Nothobranchius furzeri: one gene and its partners. The protein of the gene in region 1 interacts with the protein of each later gene in a pairwise test. Links are inferred from orthologs where the notes say so. Each region holds a gene or a part of one and is shown on either strand. Other genes may lie near its edges.

The links.
Region 2: the proteins of srebf2 (region 1) and sp1 interact in binary tests that used the Homo sapiens proteins (3 or more experiments, as listed by UniProt). The link is inferred for Nothobranchius furzeri from reciprocal best matches to the Homo sapiens genes SREBF2 and SP1.
Region 3: the proteins of srebf2 (region 1) and nfyc interact in binary tests that used the Homo sapiens proteins (3 or more experiments, as listed by UniProt). The link is inferred for Nothobranchius furzeri from reciprocal best matches to the Homo sapiens genes SREBF2 and NFYC.

What each region holds. Positions count from the first base shown.
Region 1 is NC_091752.1:67,063,858-67,070,423, reverse strand, and holds the start of srebf2 (sterol regulatory element-binding protein 2), read left to right. Parts: upstream 1-2,819; 5' UTR 2,820-6,566. Other genes in the region: uncharacterized protein, read left to right, coding at 1-1,392.
Region 2 is NC_091743.1:62,034,552-62,041,228, forward strand, and holds the start of sp1 (transcription factor Sp1), read left to right. Parts: upstream 1-2,278; 5' UTR 2,279-2,361; coding exon 2,362-2,368; exon of another isoform or gene 2,369-2,423; intron 2,424-2,887; coding exon 2,888-2,964; intron 2,965-4,365; coding exon 4,366-5,710; intron 5,711-6,677. UniProt on the Homo sapiens protein: Transcription factor that can activate or repress transcription in response to physiological and pathological stimuli.
Region 3 is NC_091759.1:20,570,718-20,577,239, reverse strand, and holds the start of nfyc (nuclear transcription factor Y subunit gamma), read left to right. Parts: upstream 1-2,264; 5' UTR 2,265-2,374; intron 2,375-2,517; exon of another isoform or gene 2,518-2,592; intron 2,593-5,258; exon of another isoform or gene 5,259-5,381; intron 5,382-5,464; exon of another isoform or gene 5,465-5,658; intron 5,659-6,123; exon of another isoform or gene 6,124-6,307; intron 6,308-6,522. Other genes in the region: uncharacterized protein si:ch211-13c6.2, read left to right, coding at 1,387-1,589. UniProt on the Homo sapiens protein: Component of the sequence-specific heterotrimeric transcription factor (NF-Y) which specifically recognizes a 5'-CCAAT-3' box motif found in the promoters of its target genes.

The DNA of each region.
Region 1 (6,566 bases):
AACCAGGCTGTCAGCCAGCTGACCTGCATATTTGGAGAAGAAGCTGTCCGTCGTCACACGGTGGTCCTTTTTACCAGGGGGGACGACCTTGAGGGAACTGGGATTGAGGAATATGTAAGAGAAACGGCCCCTGCCGGTCTTAAAGCTCTGATCGACAGGTGTGGAGGCAGATACCACGTGTTCAACAACAAAGACCCGAATAACTCCATGCAGGTTAAATGGCTGTTGAGGAAGGTGGATGCAATGGTGCAGCAGAATACCGGGAGGTTTTATACTAATGCAATGTTTTTAGAGGCAGAGGCCGCCATCACAGAGGAGCTGAGGGAGCGAGGCCAAGCCGAGGGGGAGGAAGACCAGGTTAAAGTTGTAAAACGAAGAAAGTGTGACTTGGAGTCCAGTGGAGGAGATTTTAGAGTCGAGAGGTGGAGTGAGGAGAGTAGGAGGAGCGCCTTCGGCCTCCTGCGTGACCGGTTCAGGGGGAGGCGTCAGGGTGTTGGCAGGCGGCACTCTCTCCGCCTGTCCCTGAGTCGTTTGAGGAGGGAAGCTGCACTCTCTGCCAAGGTGCTGAACAGAGTTAAGATCCTGGTGGTGGCTGGAGCAACGGGCATGGCGGTCGGCGCCGTGTTTGGGGCAGCTGCCCCTTTAGCCGCTGCAGCAGGGGCGTCCCTAGTAGGAAACTCCGTATCCTTTGCAGCAGGGCAGTTAGCCGGGATGTCGGCAGCAGGAGGCATGGGTGTCGGGAAAGCGGTAGGAGCCGTAGTGGCTGCAGCTTCTGGAAAAACAGCCGTGGCCCTTGGTGCAGCAACGGGTGGAGTTTTAGGTGGTTCTGTGGGAGCTGTTGCTGGTGCTGAGGCTGCTAGTCCTCAGGAGGGCGCTTTAGATGCCCTGGGCCAGGTTGGTGCCATAGGTGGGTCTGCTGTGGGAGTGGCAGCATGTGTGGGCTGTGCCCTGGGAGCTGGTGCTGCTTTTAGCTCAGCAGCTCTCCTCGCAGCAGAACCTGTAGCTCAGGGGACTTTAGCTTTAGCAGCACCGCAGCACGCCGTGGCCTCGGCTGCTGCAGGAGCTGGACCTCCTCAGTGTGCTGCAGCTTTAGCTCAGGCGGTGGCTACGCATGCCCCAGTGGTGGCTGGATCAACAGGGGCTGTTTGTGATCCATCAGGGCCTGTGGTGTCCTCGTTGACCCGGGGGGCTGTTTCAGACCACTGGGGCACCGTGGCAGTAACTACTCGTATCTTGAGCGCTGTGGCTGAGATTGGGAAAGCTGCAGCAGGCATTGCTCTGGCGGGTGGTCTGGTAGTGAAGGTGGTGAAGGAGAAAGTGAGATCTGGAACAGGTGCGACGGAAGCCAGCTACTCGGAAAAGAAGTCCTGTGAGATTTATTGGAACAGATAAAAGTTAAAGGCCATATGTGTCCTTTAACAGCTTTTCTGTTGAAATATTCAAATAAAGACATCCACATAATCTGATGCGCTGTAAACCCGACCAGGTCAAACATCACATTAAAAGTGTTTGAAGCTGTTCATGGCTGCTGTGGCATTTAATCTTAAGTATTTTGTTTTTAGGGAGGAGATAACCACAGATGTCTTCTAAATTCACTGTTGAATTAAATCTCATGCTAAAGGTTGTCACATGGGTTTGGAGGGAAGCATTTAGTCACAATTCAAACAAAAAAAGGGTAAAATGATGATAATAAAGATGTGGTTAACAGTGTTGGGAGTAACGCGGTGCAAATGTAATTAATTACTGTAACGCATTGCTTTTTGCTGTAATGTGGTAATAAGGCATTACAGGGAAAGAAAATGGTCATATTTACTCGGTACAATTGTCAGAAACACAGTAATTACAATGCATTTTTAAATCCAGAAGCAAGTTGTGGGTTTCTTCAAAATTCAAATTGCGGGAAGGCCAGGAAAGATCCAGTATCTACATATATGACGTCATTTATGGACTCAGAGTTGCGGGCATCCTATGAGCAGAGAGGACGCAGCGGTAATGGCTCCTGCATTCACAAAATGGCTCCACCAAAACAAAATAATTAATTTGCGATCGTTCATATCAGCCCATATTCTCTGGTGCTTTCTGTACTTTTCTGACGTGCTTTGCCTCAGCTGAGTTCATAATCTGCGCCCCGGTGATTTGAACTCATTGCTGCTGGAGCGCAGCACATATTAAAGAGCAAGTCACCCCCAAATCAACTTTTTTTTCTGATAAACTACATAAATGTGTGTCTAATCGTGCTGCAGACACGTGTAGTCAATAGTTTTGCACTTTAGTGCATTTTAGTTAAAATTTAAATTTTCTGCCTAAAACTGTCAGTGTTGTGCCGTTGTCAGGTAAAAACTCTGCACTGCATTTGAATTTAAATCTGCCATCGCTATTGGCTAAGAGGTACCCTAGAACGTTAGCTGGTACCATATGATGTCACAATGTCGTTGTGAGCCTGTGTGTGTGTGTGTGTTAGCGACTCTGCTCTCTCGGTCTGCTAGGCAACAGCATTTGTTGCATTTTTCAAACAGGAAGTGGGAGTGGGGTAATACTCTGATAGGGGGTGACTTGCTCTTTAAAGAGGGCCGAATTCGTCAACCGCATTTGAAGGAGTCTTCGAATTGGGACAGGCCTGGTCGCGGCACTGTGAGGTAAACGGCCGACGAAGGATGCAGACCCTGAATTGAGACACAGGCTCACGACAGCATTGTGACATCATAATGTACCAGTTTACATCATAGCATACCTCTTAGCCAATAGCTGTGGCAGATTTAAATTAAAATACAGTGCAGAGTTTTTACCTGACAACGGCACAACACTGCCAGTTTTAGGCAGAACATTTAAATTTTAACTAAGGTGCACTGAAGTGCCAAATTATTGACTACACGTGTCTGCAGCACGATTAGACGCTCATTTATTTAGTTTATCAGCAAAAAAAAGTTTTTTTGGGGGTGACTTGCTCTTTAAGCTTTTTTTGCATTCGGTAGATCCCTTGGCTGATTAGGTAGAAAGTAGGAAACTGATTTTCTGGAAGACGGAGAAAAGATGCAGCATGCAGGAAGGTTAGAGAGAGAGAGGGCCAGAAATCATTCAAATAAAATCAAGAAAATAAAAAAAAGTGCTTGAAAAGAAAAAAAAAGTAAGTAGATTTATCCCCAATACACATTTTTACCACTCCATCCATCCATCCATTTTCATCTGCTTATCCGGAGTCACGTCGCAGGGGCGGTAGCCTAAGTCGAGAGGCCCAGACTTCCCTCTCCCCATCCACTTGGGCCAGCTCTTCCGGGGGAATCCCAAGGCGTTCCCTGGCCAGGCAAGAGACATAGTCCCTCCAACGTGTCCTGGGTCTCCCTTTAGGTCTCCTCCCGGTTGGACGTGCCCAGAAAACCTCACCAGGGAGGCGTCCAGGAGGCATCCTGACCAGATGCCTGAGCCACCTCAACTGGCTCGTCTCGATGTGGAGGAGCAGCGGGTCTGCTCCAAGCCCTTCCCGGATGGCCGAGCTTTTCACCCTATCTCTAAGGGAGAGCCCAGCCATTCTGTGGAGAAAACTCATTTCGGCTGCTTGTATCCGCGATCTCGTTCTTTTGGTCACTACCCAAACCTCATGACGATAGGTGAGGGTAGGAACGTAGATCGACCGGTAAATCGAAAGCTTTGCCTTGACTCAGCTCTCTCTCCACCACGACAGACCGGTAAAACGCCCGCATCACTCCAGATGCAGCACCAATCTGCCTATCGATCTCACGCTCCAGTTTTCCCTCATTCATGAACTCCTCCACTTGGGGCAGGACCTCATCCCTGACCCGGAGAAGGCGTTCTACCCTTTTCCGAATCAAGACCATGGTCTCAGCTTTAGAGGAGCTGGTTCTTATCCCAGCTGCTTCACACTCTGCTGTGAGCCGCTCTAGCGAAAGCTGAAGATCACGTTCTGATGAAGCCAACAGGACCACATCATCTGCAAATCATCTGATCCTCAGGCGACCAGAACGGATCCCCTCCATACCTTGGTTGCACCTAGAAATCCTGTCCATAAAGGTTATGAACAGAATCGGTGACAAACGAAAGCCTTGGCGGAGTCTAAATGATAAATGACCCGCACTTCTATAGTGCCTCTCAGAGTAAGGACTCCAAAGTGCTTTACACTACAGTGTATCATTCATACATTCACACACTGATAGTGATGAGCTACAATGTAGCCACAGCTGCCCTGGGGCACACTGACAGAGGTGAGGCTGCCGAGCACAAGTGCCACCAGTCCCTCCGACCACCACCAGCAGGCAAGGTGGGTTAAGTGTCTTGCCCAAGGACACAACAGCAGAATTCTCTGTGCGGAGCCGGGATCGAACCTGCAACCTTCCGATTACTGGACAACCTGTTGAGCTACTGCTGCCCACTGGGAACGAGCCCGACTTACTGCCGGCAATGCGGACCAAGCTCTTGACACCGGTCATACAGGGACCTAACAGCCCGTATCAGAGGACCCGGTACTCCATACTGCTGGTGTACCCCCCAAAGGGCCCCCCGAGGGACACGTTCAAATGCCTTCTCCAAATCCACAAAACACATGTAGACTGGTTGGGCAAATTCCCACGCACCCTCCAGGATCTCCCTAAGGGTATAGAGCTGGCCCAGTGTTCCACGGCCAGGACGAAAACCACATTGCTCCTCCTGAATCTGAGGTTCAACAATCCGACGGACCCTCCTCTCCAGAAACCCTGAATAGACCTTACCAGGAAGGCTCAGGAGTGTGATCCCCCTGTAGATGGAACACACCCTGCGGTCCCCCCTTTTAAATAAGGGGACCACCACCCCAGTCTGCCATTCCAGTGTGCCTACCCCAATGTGTACGTGATATTGCAGAGCCGCGTCAGCCACCACAGCCCCACAACATCCAGAGCCTTAAGGAACTCCGGGCAGATCTCATCCACCCCTGGAGCCTTGCCACAGAGGAGCTTTTTAACCACCTCAGTGACCTCAGCACCAGAGACTTGAGAGGCCAACCCAAAGTCCCCAGACTCTGCTTCCTCACTGGAAGACGTGTTGGTGGGATTGAGGAGGTCTTCGAAGTACTCTGCTCACCGATCCACAACGTCCTGAGTAGAGGTCAGCAGCACACCATCCCCACTATAGATAGTGTTGGTAGCGCACTGCTTTCCCCCCCTGAGGCTCTGGATGGTGGACCAAAATCTCCTCGAAGCCATGTGGAAGTCTTGCTCCATGATCTCACCGAACTCCTCCCATGCCCAGGTTTTTGCCTTGGCGACCACCCGAGCCACGTTCCGCTTGGACTGCCGGTACCTGTCAGCTGCCTCTGGAGTCCCACAGGCCAAAAAGACCTGATAGGACTCTTTCTTGCTTGACAGCATCCCTGGGTTCAGGGGTTGCCAGAACGACAGACACCGACGATCCTGCGACCACAGCTCCGGTCGGCCGCCTCAACAATGGAGGCACGGAACAGGGTCCATTCAGACTCAATGTCCCCCGCCTTCCCCGGAACATTTTGGAAGTTCTGTCAAGAGGTGGGAATTGAAGCTCCTTCTGACAGGAGACTCTGCCAGACGTTCCCAGCAGACTCTTGAGATACGTTTGGGCCTGCCTGGTCTGACCGGCATCCTCCCCCACCATCTGAGCCAACTCACCACCAGGTAGTGGTCAGTTGACAACTCCGCCCCCTCTTCACCCGAGTGTCCAAGACATGCGGCCGCAGGTCAGATGAAACAACAACAAAGTCGATCATCGAGCTGCGGCCTAAGGTATCCTGGTGCCAAGAGCACATATGGACACCTTTATGTCTGAACATGGTGTTCTTATTGACACTCCATGACTGGCACAGAAGTCCAATAACAAAACACCACTCGAATTCAGATCGGGGGGGCCGTTCCTCCCAACCACACCTCTCCAGGTCTGTCGTTGCCTACGTGAGCATTAAAGTCCCCCAGCAGAACGAGGGAGTCACCGGAAGGAGCGCTTTCCAGCACCCCCTCCAAGGTCTCCAAAAAGGGTGAGTAGTCTGAACTGTAGTTTGGTGCGTAAGCACAGACCACAGTCAGAACCCGTCCCCCCACACGTAGGCGGAGGGTGGCTACCCTCTCATTCACTGGGGTAAACCCCAACATACAGGCACCAAGATGGGGGGCAACCAGTATGCCCACCCTTGCTCGGCGCCTCTCAGTGGGAGCAACTCCATAGTGGTACAAAGTCCAACCCCTCTCAAGGAAACTGGTTCCAGAGCCATGCGTTGAAGTGAGTCCAACCATATCTAGTCAGAACCTCTCAACCTCAGGCTCCTTTCCCACCAGAGAGGTGTCATTCCATGTGCCAAGAGCCAGCTTCTGTAGCCGAGGATCAGACCGCCAAGGTCCCCGCCCTCGACTACCACCCGTCACACACTGCACCCGACCCCTTTGGCCCCTCCCACGAGTGGTGAGTCCATGGGAAGGGGGACTTATGTTTCCTCTTCGGGCTGTGCCCAGCCAGGCTCCATGGGTGAAAGCCCGGCCACCAGGCGCTCGCCAACGTGCCCCACCTCCAGGCCTGGCTCTAGAGGGGGGCCTCGATGACCCACGTCCGGGCGA
Region 2 (6,677 bases), on another chromosome or scaffold:
CACACTCTGGCCTTTGCAGAGGATGGTGGAATTTTTGCCACCGTCAATGTACCATGGGAGGCTCTAGTGCAGGGGTGTCAAACTCATTTTAGCTCAGGGGCCACATTGCGAGAAATCTAGTTCCAAGTGGGCCGGACCGGTAAATTAAAAACAACTTCAGATTGTTTTCTTTGTTTTAATACAACCAATATAAAACAAGGCTGGAGCCAGAGGACAATGTATCCAAAACGGTACAAGTACAACACCTGAAGTGTACTTGAAAATTTGAAAAAAATAAAAAAAATCAATCAATAAAAAATACATTCCTTAGTGATTAAAAGAGCTTACAGATCACATGGCTAGATCAGTTTCGTGCAGCACTTAAAATATATTTGACTCATTTTACTTTACATCTTTTAGCTTTCACCAGCACATCAATATCAGAAGTCACATCCTGAGTGGCATGCCAACTTCAGGATGTGATTCAAGTTCTTGTGTGAGCCTTGAGCGCAGCTTTGTTTTATTTATACTCATTACAGAGAAAACTTGCTCACAAAGATAAGTTTATTTTCACTCTACATTGTAAAGTATGAAAATAAAGTTTACACAATCATCTCGCGGGCCGGATTTAACCCGCTTGCGGGCCGGATCCGGCCCGCGGGCCGCATATTTGACATCCCTGCTCTAGAGTCTAGACTATCATAAGGAGGGTCCAGGCTGTGGCCAGCTGCTGCTACAGAGGCACTGTTGTAAGAAAACACTCCAAACATTGTCTTTCAGTTTTTCAGCGTTTATTATCTACAATGGCAATCACTTTGTATACACCTTTCCAATATGTCTCAGAGTATGACTTTTTTGCACAAAATGTGTTATCTGGGTTATTATTTTGGTATAACAACAAGAAAATATTTGTATAAGCATCTACTATACCAGATAAATGCTTTGACATGCTTTTGTTCAAATAAGCAGAACTTAATGTTAAGGCTCTGCGGCACGAGGTCCATGATTGCTGTCAGGGTGGCACTGGCACACCTTGGACACCTTCCACTAGCACTGCCCCGGTTATATCCTGTTTATTTGATATTTCCTGATTTTAGCACATTTTTTGTGCTAACTTTTTACCCAACAGCATTTCTTTAGAGTACTTGTGAAGTGATAACATAGATAAATCCTGTGATAAGCATAGAAACCAGAAGGCACTTAATTGTTCTACATAACAGGATTAAACATAGCAATTTGAACACAATATTGAACCTGACTAAATCAATCAAATTCAATTGTGTGTGTGTGTGTGTGTGTGTGTGTGTGTGTGTGTAAACAGACAGGCCAGGGTGGTATGGATGTATGGACTCCACCCTCTGACATGTTTATACATGGACACATGTGCTATTTCAATGACAGCCCCTAGCAGAGATAAAAGCCCTCCCAGTCCAACCATCTTCCACTCCCAGCCCAGCATAGTAGCCAGTGTGGTGAGTGTTATGAGGGTTCTTCTCCACCCTTTCTGACTCCTCCCGCCACATTACTGTTTACCGACTCACAAAGCCACAAGGGAGTGGCCAACGGCCACGGAGGCAAGACTCAAGCACTCGTTCAGCCCTCCTTACTTCCCACCTCTGTGGCCAGAGACATTAACAACGTTTGGCGTTGTTTCACTGTTGAAATTTGACTCCACTTCAAGACGGGGCTAAGCGAATTATCAGTATTTACGTGGACTAAACTATAGTGACGTCGTTTTAGCGGAAAACAAATAACCCGACGTCAATCATGCTCAAGAGCACAACCTACCGTGCTTAATCCCGCCCACCCCTCCAACTATGGTGAAATTAGATTAGTCAACTGGTGCTCTTTAGGCGAGACAAACAATTCTATTGGACAATGGATTATTCCATCACCCGTATTGCTGATTGAGGAGCGCTTGTTTTTTTTTCGGCACAGTACGGTACGCGTACTACCAAACGAAAAAGAAAAAAAAAATCTTAAATATTCCGAGTTTAAATCGGTTTGAATTGAATTATTTACAGCATGTGTGGCGGTACTCACTCTACCGTTTCATTTCTGCCTTGTAACTTGTACATGTCTATGATAAGTTCAGGAGTCGGTTTTACTTTGATTTAAGCGCCAAGAAAACCCAGCATTCTTTCAAAATGTCATCTACTGGCTCACTTAAGTTTCACAAATTATATTTTTATAATCTCTAGTTAAAAAGTAGTCTAACTTGAAATAGGTTTGAGAAGTTCATTGCACCATCTCGAATCTAGTTTACATAAATCGAACGCACTCATACGCCTACTTCAAAGGGAGGGGGAACTTAAGTTTGTGTGAAGTTGTGAAAAGTTGTCAAGCTGAAAAAAGAGCAGAAACTCCTCCCGTCTTCTAATTATGAGCAGTAAGTGGACTTTTAAAACTTGGAGGCATACTACGTGCGTACTTATAACTCAAGGGTATGACGTAGCAACATCGTGTTATTTGTATTAAGTGGTGGATTTTGCGCTGCATTGTTGTCTAGTCTGAAGCAGTTTTAAAGTGACGTTAGTTTATTGTTACTTAACGCTACTTGTTAGTGGTTCTTTAGAAAACGACGCTGTCCCCTCTTTAGAATTGTAGGTTATGGTATTCCTCAAACAAAAAATAGCGGTAATGTTTTATCAGAACGGTGGAAACTGCGTTGGTGCACTTAATTAATGCTTAACTAGTTTATTGTTTATTACTTGTGCTGAGTTCACGTTAGCTCACAAGCTAACTGGCCTTGTGAGGGCTTGAAATGTTTTCCAACCCGAATCTTCCACAAAGCATTCTTAAGTTGACTTGTTGTGAAACATGTAGTCGTTTTTCTTTGTTTGATTTTTGTTTTCGTGTATAACTGATCTATTATGTTCCAAGAAGTCTTACAAGTGTTCTTCCGCAGATCAGCAGCAGCAGGGTGAAATGGCCGCTGTGGAGAGCGGCGGAGGATTCAGCCAGAAGCGAAACACAAACTCACAAGTAAGTTAACCACTTAGCGACATTTCGTTCTCATCGTGTGTGCCACTTGTTGAATTTGTTGTGTTCGTCTGTGCGTGTGTGTCTGGACCTGAGCGGGTTGTTGATTTTCTCACCAGAGCACATGTCATCGGGGTGGGAACTGGGCAGGTAAATTTCGCCCACACGGGGTGTTCCCATCTAACCCGGGCACTTCTTGTATGTTTCGCTCGGCCCATTTGGCTCTCCTTGGAGGGGGTGGCTAGTGAAGTGTGCTAGTTTATAGGGCGAAAATCAAGTGTGGGAGGGAGATGGGTGGGCTTGGGGGGAGGGGAAGCCGAGCCCGCCGCTGCTCCGGAAAATGTGGTCCCTCCCTCCCATGTCCCCTCACCCAATGCGTTTTCTCTGTGAAGCCCACTCCCCTACAAGCGCTTCAATGAAACTCGCTAGACTTAAACGCAGTGATATTATGGTTTTCACTAAACAAGCTAGATTTCTTTTAGAATAAGGAACCTAATTTGTTTTAACTTGAAACATCATGCCTTTCTTCCTATTTTTTAACAGGTCCAATATACAATATGCTAGAACATGTGATCCCCTTGCACGGTTTAAGATATAATTTATGTTCCACTTTATTTGTGTTGCTGTAAACATCTTGTTTATAATAATTAGGGTTGCTTTTATTGTTCTCCAGTTTGAATATGCGTGGACAAAAGAGTTCATGGGGCTTTGGGGGATGTGATTTTACATGAGTAGTTTTATTCATTCATTTATAAAGCACCTTCATGCTGCCAATCAAGGCAAAACACAAAATTGCATGACGCACATAAAAAGGTAAAAGTAGAGAATGGAAAAGTAAGTAAATCAAATACAAACATAAAACCAGTACAAAGGAAACCTAAAATTTAAAGCACACTAAACGGTAATAATATACAGTTACAAAAATAAGCCACTAACAGACGGAAAATGAAAAGTGATACAAAAACCATCCAGCTTTGAAGCATTACAAGGAGGGAACATGTTTAATCTCCAGAGTTCAAAAGTCTATAGAAAAAAAAACAAGAGAAGGCATGGTCACCCCCCAGTCTAAATCCTCGAGACTACTAAGAGACTGGGATCGGCTGAGCGACGAGATCTTGGCAGAACATGTTTAGAAAGCAAGGCTGATGTGTATGCTGGAGCCATCCCAGCAAAGGCCAAACATTGTAGAAAAAGCTAAAGAGTATCACAGTAACTGTCAAAATTGGTTTGAAATATGAAATTCATCCATTTTGTTCAGGAAAGTCTGCTAAAAACTTGTGCAGCAACAAATGTTCACATCAGAATTTCTGGCACTCAATTGTCTCTATAGATGTAAGATAGCATGCTCTGTTATTATTGTCTGTTTACATTTTCCTGTTTGATCTTCATTTATACTGATTATAGGACTCACAGCAGCCGTCTCCTTTGGCCTTGCTGGCAGCCACGTGCAGTCGAATCGACACCCCCGGAGAAAACGATTCTACCGCAGACCAACAGCTGGAAATAAACCCGGGTGTCTTCACCTCCAGTGCCAACGGCTGGCAGGTCGTTCCTCTAAGCGTTCAGGCATCCTCCGGCTCTAACACAATCACCACTGATTCCTCAGGGGTGATGACAGGAGACAATGGCAAAAGCAGACAGGTGCTGTCACCATCAAGTACTCAGGGTCAGCAGCCACAGCAGTATGTAGTAGCTCAGGCCCCATCTGTGCCAGGTCAGCAGGTTCTAACCACCATATCAGGTGTGATGCCCAATATACAGTACCAAGTAATACCCCAATTTCAGACAGTAGATGGCCAACCGCTGCACTTTGCACATGCTCAACAGGAACCTGCTGCAGCAGGACAAGGACAACAGTTTCAGATAGTGTCCTCTCCAAATGGCCAGCAGATTATTGCTGCATCCAATAGAGCTGGTGCAGCTGGAAACATCATAACCATGCCCAGTGTCCTTCAGGGAGCCATCCCCATTCAGAACATCTTAGGCAATGGTGTTTTACAAAATCAGCCCCAGTTTCTGGCAAACATGCCAGTATCCTTGAATGGAAACATCACTTTGGTGCCTGTCAGTACAGGTTCTACTGGAGGGGATGCAAATGGTAGTGGAGAAACGGGTGGGAACCAGCACGTACAGCAATCTCCACAGCCAGCATCTTCTAATAGTGGGACCAGTTACATGACCAGCGAATCCACCATCACCACTCAAACCTCTTCTTATGGAATTGCCACACAGAAGAGTAACGGATCAGGGAGCAGAACGTTCCAGCAAAACCCAGCCTCCTCTCTTGGTGTCCCAATTCAGCCAGACAACAGAGCAGAGCAGCAGCCTCAACAAATCCTCATTCAGTCTCCTCAGGTTATTCAAAGTGGAGCACCTCTTCAGACCATACAAGCCAGTACCGTTGCAAGTGCAGGTGGTCAGGTGTTTGCAGCTCCAACACTCAGCCAAGAGGGGCTTCAAAATCTTCAGATTATGCCAAACACAGGGCCTATCCTCCTGCGCACTGTAGGCCCTAATGGCCAGGTTAGCTGGCAGACCCTTCACATCCAGAGTCCAGCAGGTGCACAGATAACACTAGCCCCAGTGCAGTCTCTGCCCCAGCTCGGGCAGACTCAAGGAGCTACCGGAGCTGGAACGGTACCGGTGCAGATCCCAAATCTTCAGACCATAAATCTCAACTCACTTGGAAGCACAGGGCTGCAGATGCATCCTCTGCAGGGAATCCCCATCAACATCACAGGTGCATCAGGTTAGACCAGCTTGTTTATAAGTTTCTCATTATGTGTCTCAATATGCTTTATAATAACCTCCAGTCAACAGTAGGACCATGCTTTCTATAACTCCTGAGTTATGGAAAACAAATTTGTGTCATTTCTATTTAATTAGCCCACATTTTATCATGACTGTTTACGAACCATTTATTTCCTAAATATGATAAAATTTAGATGCAAAAAGAGAAAAAGTACATGCAAACAACAACAATGTCTCAGGATTAGTATCTTTAAAATGAGGTTTCGATGTTTGGTATCGCTTCACTTTGCATGCAAGTTAAATTCTGGTTAAACCAGTTCTACTATCTGAGTTTTCCCTGAGCCTTAAACTGTAAACAAGCTGTTTGTGTTCGATTTCTTCATCTGATAGTTAAATTACACTGAAGGCAGTTTGGCATAGTTACTGTATTACACAGGGTATCCGCGGGTCCTTAAAAAGTCTTAAATTGACTTTTCCAAATTTAAGGCTTTGAAAATCCTTAAAAATGACAAATAATCCTTAAATACAGTTTCCAAAGGTCTTAAATTACCAAAGACCCAATAAACTAGACTGTTTTATTTCTATGACATTTTTGTGAATTTCTAGTTAGTGTTCAGCATTTTTTGTGTACGATGTTGGTGTAAGCGGAACCGCACATATTCAGTTGGTTGTGAAAGGGAGCTATTTTTAGATGAGCACATTCGCTGGTTAAGCTAGTGGGAGCTTACGCCATGGAGAAGTGCAAGTTTAATGGTAACTGGATGGCTAATCCCACGTTCGTGGCGTGGTTAGGAAATTATAGCAGAAATTACATTTTAAAAAATAGCTTAAATTTGGTCAAAGTGGCCTTAAAAAAGGTCTTAAAAAGTCTTAAATTTGACTCACTTCAACCTGCAGTTACCCTGATTACAGCACAGGACCATTCCCCTCTTCTCTCAACCCTGTTTGTGTTTGTTGCTCCTAAA
Region 3 (6,522 bases), on another chromosome or scaffold:
AAACTCCGCCTGCGCTCCGGACCGTTCTTCAGGACATTAGGAAAGGGAATGATGTAGTGATGTGTCAGTCGCTAAAGAAACGGCTCTCGGAGCCGGCTCCCTGTTGGTGTAACCAGAGTGAGTGACACACACACTGCACCTGCGGACTCCTGAGCCACTAAAAATGGTTAAATGTGCGGCGTGCTAAACACGCGTGCAGCTTGCCCCGATTGCTGTGAGACCGGGTTGGGGGGTGGGGGGTGCAGCTGTGGTTGGGACAATTATTACATTAACTGATGGACTTGTAAATAAATAGTTTATAAATAAGGTAGAAATAAGTTCCTCACGCTGATAAATGATAACTAATCTCTCTGAGGACACGGTGCTAGTGCACTCTTCTACAGCACCTTGACACGACTCAATAAATGTTACGCAACATTTTGTGAACATCAATTTATTTGCATGTATTTGTTATAAATGCCACTGTATAATTCTTGCTGTCAGTATTTGCAAGATATTGGTATTTGGGTCTGTACTGGTTAGACTTAAATGAGTTAAACCAAGGTCTATAGCCCTTGGGTCATAAACTATGAGCTGTAAGTATATTGGGCTTTTTATACTGGGAATCAGGAGTTATTTTAGTGATCATCTTGTTTCTTGTTTACTTTTGCCCTGATTGTGCCCTGAGCAATTTTATGACTGAATAAAAACAAATAAAATCAACATAAATTGAAAAATCGTCCTAAATAATCGTGATCTCAATTTCAGTCACCATAATCGTGATTATTATTTTTGCCATAATCGAGCAGCCCTACTGTCACATGTGTTACATACATTTTTACGTGACACTTTGCCAACCTACACATATTTTCATTTTTTTATTATCAAATTTATTGACATGGGAAAAATGATCACGATAAGAGTCAGAGATTTCGATAACGATAAATTTTCGATTTATTGCCCAGCGAGTGATACGTATTGTATCGCCAGAGTTTCACCAAAACTCATCCCTACTGTAAACCCTAGAGATGGTTGTGCAAGACAGTCCCAGAAGATCAGCAGTTTCTGAAATACTCAGACCAGCCCGTCTGGCACCCACAACCATGACACGTTCAAAGTCAAATTAAATCGCCTTTCATCCCCATTCTGAAGCTCAGTTTGAACTGCAGCGGATCGTGTCAACATGCCGAAATGCATTGAGTTGCCACCATGTCATTGGCTGATTTAGTAATTTGCGTAATCGAGCACTTGGACAGGTGTATTCATTAAAGTGGCCCGTGAGCGCGTGTACATACCGGTCACATAAACATGGTGAGTTGGAGGACAGTCTGTAAAGCAAAAAAATCTGTATGAAAGTTTAATTATGAATTGTTTTTATTCTAAAGTCGTTGTCTTGTGTGTTTTTAGGTGGAACACCTTTTTATCCCGAAAGACTTCCAGAACTCATGAACTCACCCGACTACCGGAATCCTGATATGTTTTTTGACCCTCACCCCGCTGCGCCTCCCCCTCTTATGGAGCAACAGAGCAGGATGCAGAGGGACCCTCGCTACTCCAACAATCTGGACAAAATCACCTGCGCTCTCCTGGAGCTTGTGGCAAGAAAATAGTCACTCCCAAGATGGTTATAAAATAAAATTAGATTTTGTTTGTGTAAGTAGTTTCAGGTTGCATGTGAAGTTGAATGGTTTGGTTTATTTTAGGGAATTTGCCTTAGTAAAGTTCAGTTTTTGACCCGTCAAGATCTGTGATGTAATTGTCTTGTCTGTAGTAATCTGTTTATTTTAGTTTCTCATTTGTATCAGTGTAAGCATAACCATCAACATTTGTACACAGTTTCATTTTATGTGATATGAACGTGTTAATTTACAAAACTAAAATTCGTAATGTGAATGTGGCTCTTTTTATATACAGAACACACCAAGAACTAAAAGATGGAATTAGAATTTCAACACAACAAGAACACACCAAAGATGTTTAAAGAACACACCAAGGTTGACGTCTGTTTATGCACTTTTTAAATAGCACAAAAATTACCTTACGGTCAGAATCCAAGTTTGAATCCTCTGTTTTTTTCCAGGAATTTTCCAGACAAAATAGTATTTTATCAAGCCAACTTTTGCAAAACTTTATATTTTTTGTGAGGTAAAAATTATTTGCATGAGTGACAGGCTTAATATGTGTTTACATAAATACAATATATCCATTTGAATGTTATTTCGTAGGTTCAATATGTCTTATTTGTTCAGACGTAGGTTCTGTGAAAACGTAGCTCGCACTACGTCATCGCGTTAATCTTTCCGGTTCGAGTCAAGCAGCCATCTTGTTTCCCTAGCTTGTTAAACAAAATAAATAATACGCTGAGCCGGACTTCAGCTCGAACCCGAAAAAGAAAGTGAGTAAAAAACTTAAATTCTCTCATACCTATGTTCTTTACATAAAACAGGCCTGAGGGAGTGGCAGTCGGGGCAATTATTTGGCCTGTTTTCATTTGCTGTTCTTGACCAATAGACGATTGTTTTGGGAGATGAACATCGGCGCCATTTCCCTCCCCGCACTCAGGCGCTTATTGGTGGCCCGCCGAAGAGATCCCGGGCGGTTTGGAAACTGGAGGTCTGTGTCCGCCATTTTGGATCTCATTAAAACGGCTGTCAAACGCAGTGGCTATTTCCATTGGATCCCGAATGGCGTCGATTGCAGAACGAACTTAGCCTTAAAAACCTTGATTGGTGGAATCTAGTCCGAGGTTTGATTGGTCTGAAGGACAGATCCAAACGTTGTCTTTATTGGTTAGGGTGTTTCTTTCGAGCTTTGCAAACTTTACGATGGCAAGACTCGTCAGTGTGTGATTTAATTTCACTCCGCGGAATGTCAGCCGAGCAGTGCAACAGTCACCATTCTCCACCAAGCTAGCATAAAGTTCACTTTGTCACAGTCGGCACTCCCTATCCTAACGTTAAACTAGTAGTGGAAATCTTTTGTGTACGGCTGTTTTGTGTGTCTAAGCACGAAAATGTGTTCAATTAGTCTCTCCAACTCAAGAAAATACAAGCTAGTTGTGCCTGCTAGCCCAAGATTTAGCATCATTTTTTTCACTTTATCACGATGGCCGCTTTATTCAAATAAACCTCTGTAGAATTCCGTTTCGCAAACTGAGAATGGCCAGAAAATGCGTTATACCTGCTGCGATTTTTACCTAATATGTCTGTCGGCTGCGTTAAAAGCGCAGTGTGCCATTTAATCGTAAAAAGTGTAATTGGTTTAATGTCATGATCACAATTGGAAAACAAATAACCAGTTGAGCTGAGTTATGTAATCATCCTGCATGTACTGAACTGTTTTCTGAATATTTGTACGCTTACGAATCAACAAATACACAATATATAGACAATATCAATAACTAAACAACACCCAAAGCAGAAAGGACACAAACCGTTTTGTTTTTTGATTAATCTATTTAAAAAAATCCTATTTTAAGCTTTTACTTTTGTGCATTTTAGTTCCTAATTTGTTTTAATTTTGAATTATAGCTTAACTTTGTACATTTGAAATGAAGTTTGGTTGTTTAATAAAAGTCCATCTGTAATTCCTTATTCTTGGTGTATAAGTTTACTTCTAACTCAGGATTGCAGCTCTTCCCACCCCAGTCTATTATTTCTGTCTCTAAAACATTAATGTTTGTTTAATCCACTAATTGCTTATTTTTCTAATTGACAGAATGCTTAGATTTTGATCAAACATTAATGGAAGCACCTATTGTGCAAATCAGTGAGCTGGGGTTTGCAGGTGGTTATATGTTTACATGTTGAAGGCTTAGCTCGGCCACCCTGAGGGTGCTGTGTGTTTATGAAACCTAACGTCTGATTGGTGTGTGTTTATCTCCAAACAGCATCAGCGAGCACAAACATGGCCATGCTACGGGCGGTATAGGTCATGGGAAGGTTTCATTTGTATGCTGACCTTGCCAAGTGTCATTACTGAGGCTATTTGGGTAGCAAGCGTCCCCTTTAAGAGAAAAATAAATGTCCTGGCCAGTTAGCCGTGATGGAGAGATTAATCTTTGAGAAAACTATCCAATCATTAACCTGATGCTTGCAGCGCCTTTTCTTGTGCCGGTGCTCTGTGCTAAAATAGCAAAAGGAACATTTAGCTTTGTTTCTCTTGAGTTATCTATCTTGTTCCCTAACCCTCCCACCACTTGTTCTACCCCTCCCATCCCATAACAACTCTCCTCTCTGTCCTTCTCCATCCTTCCGGTCTCTCCCCCCCCCCCGGTATTTCATTGAAGGGGCAGGTTTCCTCTGTTTCCTCTTAAGCTTGTTCCATTCCACTCCACTGTAGAGTCACATTCATATGGAGCATTATCTTTAGACTATTATGTCACTTTTTAAACACGTTTCCTGCTTCATGTATGTGTCTCCTAATGAGTTCACATGTGAAACGGATCACAAACTGCTCAAGGTTGTGGTTTGTAAAACATCAGCTGGGCACATGAGCGGTGGCGGCTGGTCTTGGTGATCCGAAGTAAAGGTTTCTGCGATGAAAGGATGTGCCGTGAACAAAAAGGGCATCGAGTTTGTCATTGCTGGTGTGGTTTCCGTTGACGTTTTTATTGTGGAAGTTGCTGCTAGCTTCGTTTTGGGGTCAGGACACCAGCGTCTTTGTGTACAGATTTCCACCCATATCTCTTAAGTCTTGTTTAACCACAAATAGAACAAGAATCATATTCAGCCTTATCCCTCCCCCATCCCAACTAATGTTCCATCAGCTGATTTCTTCCGCAACTGATGGCCTGAAATGATCAGTTTTAGAGATTTATAAATATTTTTTGTTATGGTCCAAGTAAGCAACATAGTTTGCAGAAAATCATCTCCTGTGTCGTAAATTTGTTGAATGTCATTCTGCTATTTTACATCCTAAACAAATAAAAAAGTATTTTGTTTATGTGGACAAATTTTGTCTTTGCTGTATTATCAGTAATATGAATGTCATTACAACAAACGGGCTGCTCAGAGGCAACGTTGTCGCTCCACGCACCTGGAAACACCAGCAAGGATAAACGAGGAAGCAAGGACAAAATGTGCATTTGTGTGGATGTGCATGTGAGACTGTACACGCGTGAGACAGGGTGGCTGGCTGCTAGGTTTTGTACTTTAAATCATGTGGATGCAACATGCAGCATCAGTTCTGGCACTTCTTTCAGCCAATCGGGGCGTTCCTGGTTGCCTGCATCATTGTGCCGTCAGCCCGTAGCTGCCGAGGGGGGCGGGGCAGAGGGAGACATTTAGTTTGACATTGTAAATAAGCAGAGAGCAGTTGTCAGAGAGCAGCCCGTCGGAACCTTTCTCATCCAACCAGCAGCAGGAGAGACGGGAGACCGCTTCAGAACAAACGATGCCAAGGCAAGCCACAGCGATCACGCCCTCGTCGGAGACTTTTCCACAACTTTACTTGCTCCTTTTTCTCTCTCCCATCGCCTCTCTTCTCTCTTTCTCTTTTCTTTTCCCTGACCCCTATCCTGCAGCTCAAGGTAACTTAGAGCAGGAAGTTGACTGTCAGTGAAAGGGGGTTGGGCGGAGGAAAGCAGAGTGGGGGACGTGCCGGAGCGGATTGGTGTACGCGGCGTCCAATAGCACGACAGCCCTTTGTCTTTGCATTGGTCACATCTGCTAGAATGAGGTGGGCGTTGGGTTTGAGGCGGGGTTTGAGTATCATGTAGCATGCTAGATTGATTATGCTTGAATGTTAAAGGGGAAGGAGGCTCGAGATTCTTGTCTCTGTGTCAGGAGTGCCGCGGTAATGTTTGCCTGCTGCCGTGCTCTCTTTCCGAGACTTCTCGCCCCCTTCTACCTACCGGGCCAGGGGTCAGATCAAAGACAAACAGATGGACAATGGTCAAAGTGAGGAAGAGGTGTCACAGAGTACAAAGACAGGAGGAGGAGTAGTGGTCAGCAAGTTAAAGGGGTCTTGGTAAGAAGAGAAATGGTGGAGATGCCCAGGAGGACCTTGGGGACTGTTGAAGGAGACAGGTCAATGTGTAGAAGGAGAGTGGGAGGAAGCAAGGGGGAGGGGTGCTTGCTCTTTACTCTGTCCGGGTTTAGAGCTTTTTTTTTTCTTTTTTTTTTGAGCTGTCCAAGTGGAGCCAGAGTGCCTTTTGTCTGTTGATATGATCAGGGGACTGGAGGAAGTGGAGGAGCATGGGAGAGTTTTCTGTCAGCCTCTGTGCTGGCTCCTGCTGTTCTCAAGGAGACTTGAGCAGGGCTATCTGTTTCCATCTCTCCTGCTGCTCTTCAGCAGGCCACACCGTTCAGCATGAAGGGCACGGGGGGTAAGTCTGTCAGCTAAAACACACACAGCCAGAGCAGACCTGCCAAGTTAACTCGCTTCAAGTTCCCAAATAAATTGTTGATCTCACTTTACTTTAGGAAACGTCTCCATCATTCTGCAGTGAAGAGAGCGTGTGTCCTTTACAGCTGTCCTCAGTCCCCCTCCCTTTTCTGTCCTGCAGTTCTCTCCTCGGTACTTTGTTCCGTCTCATCTGTG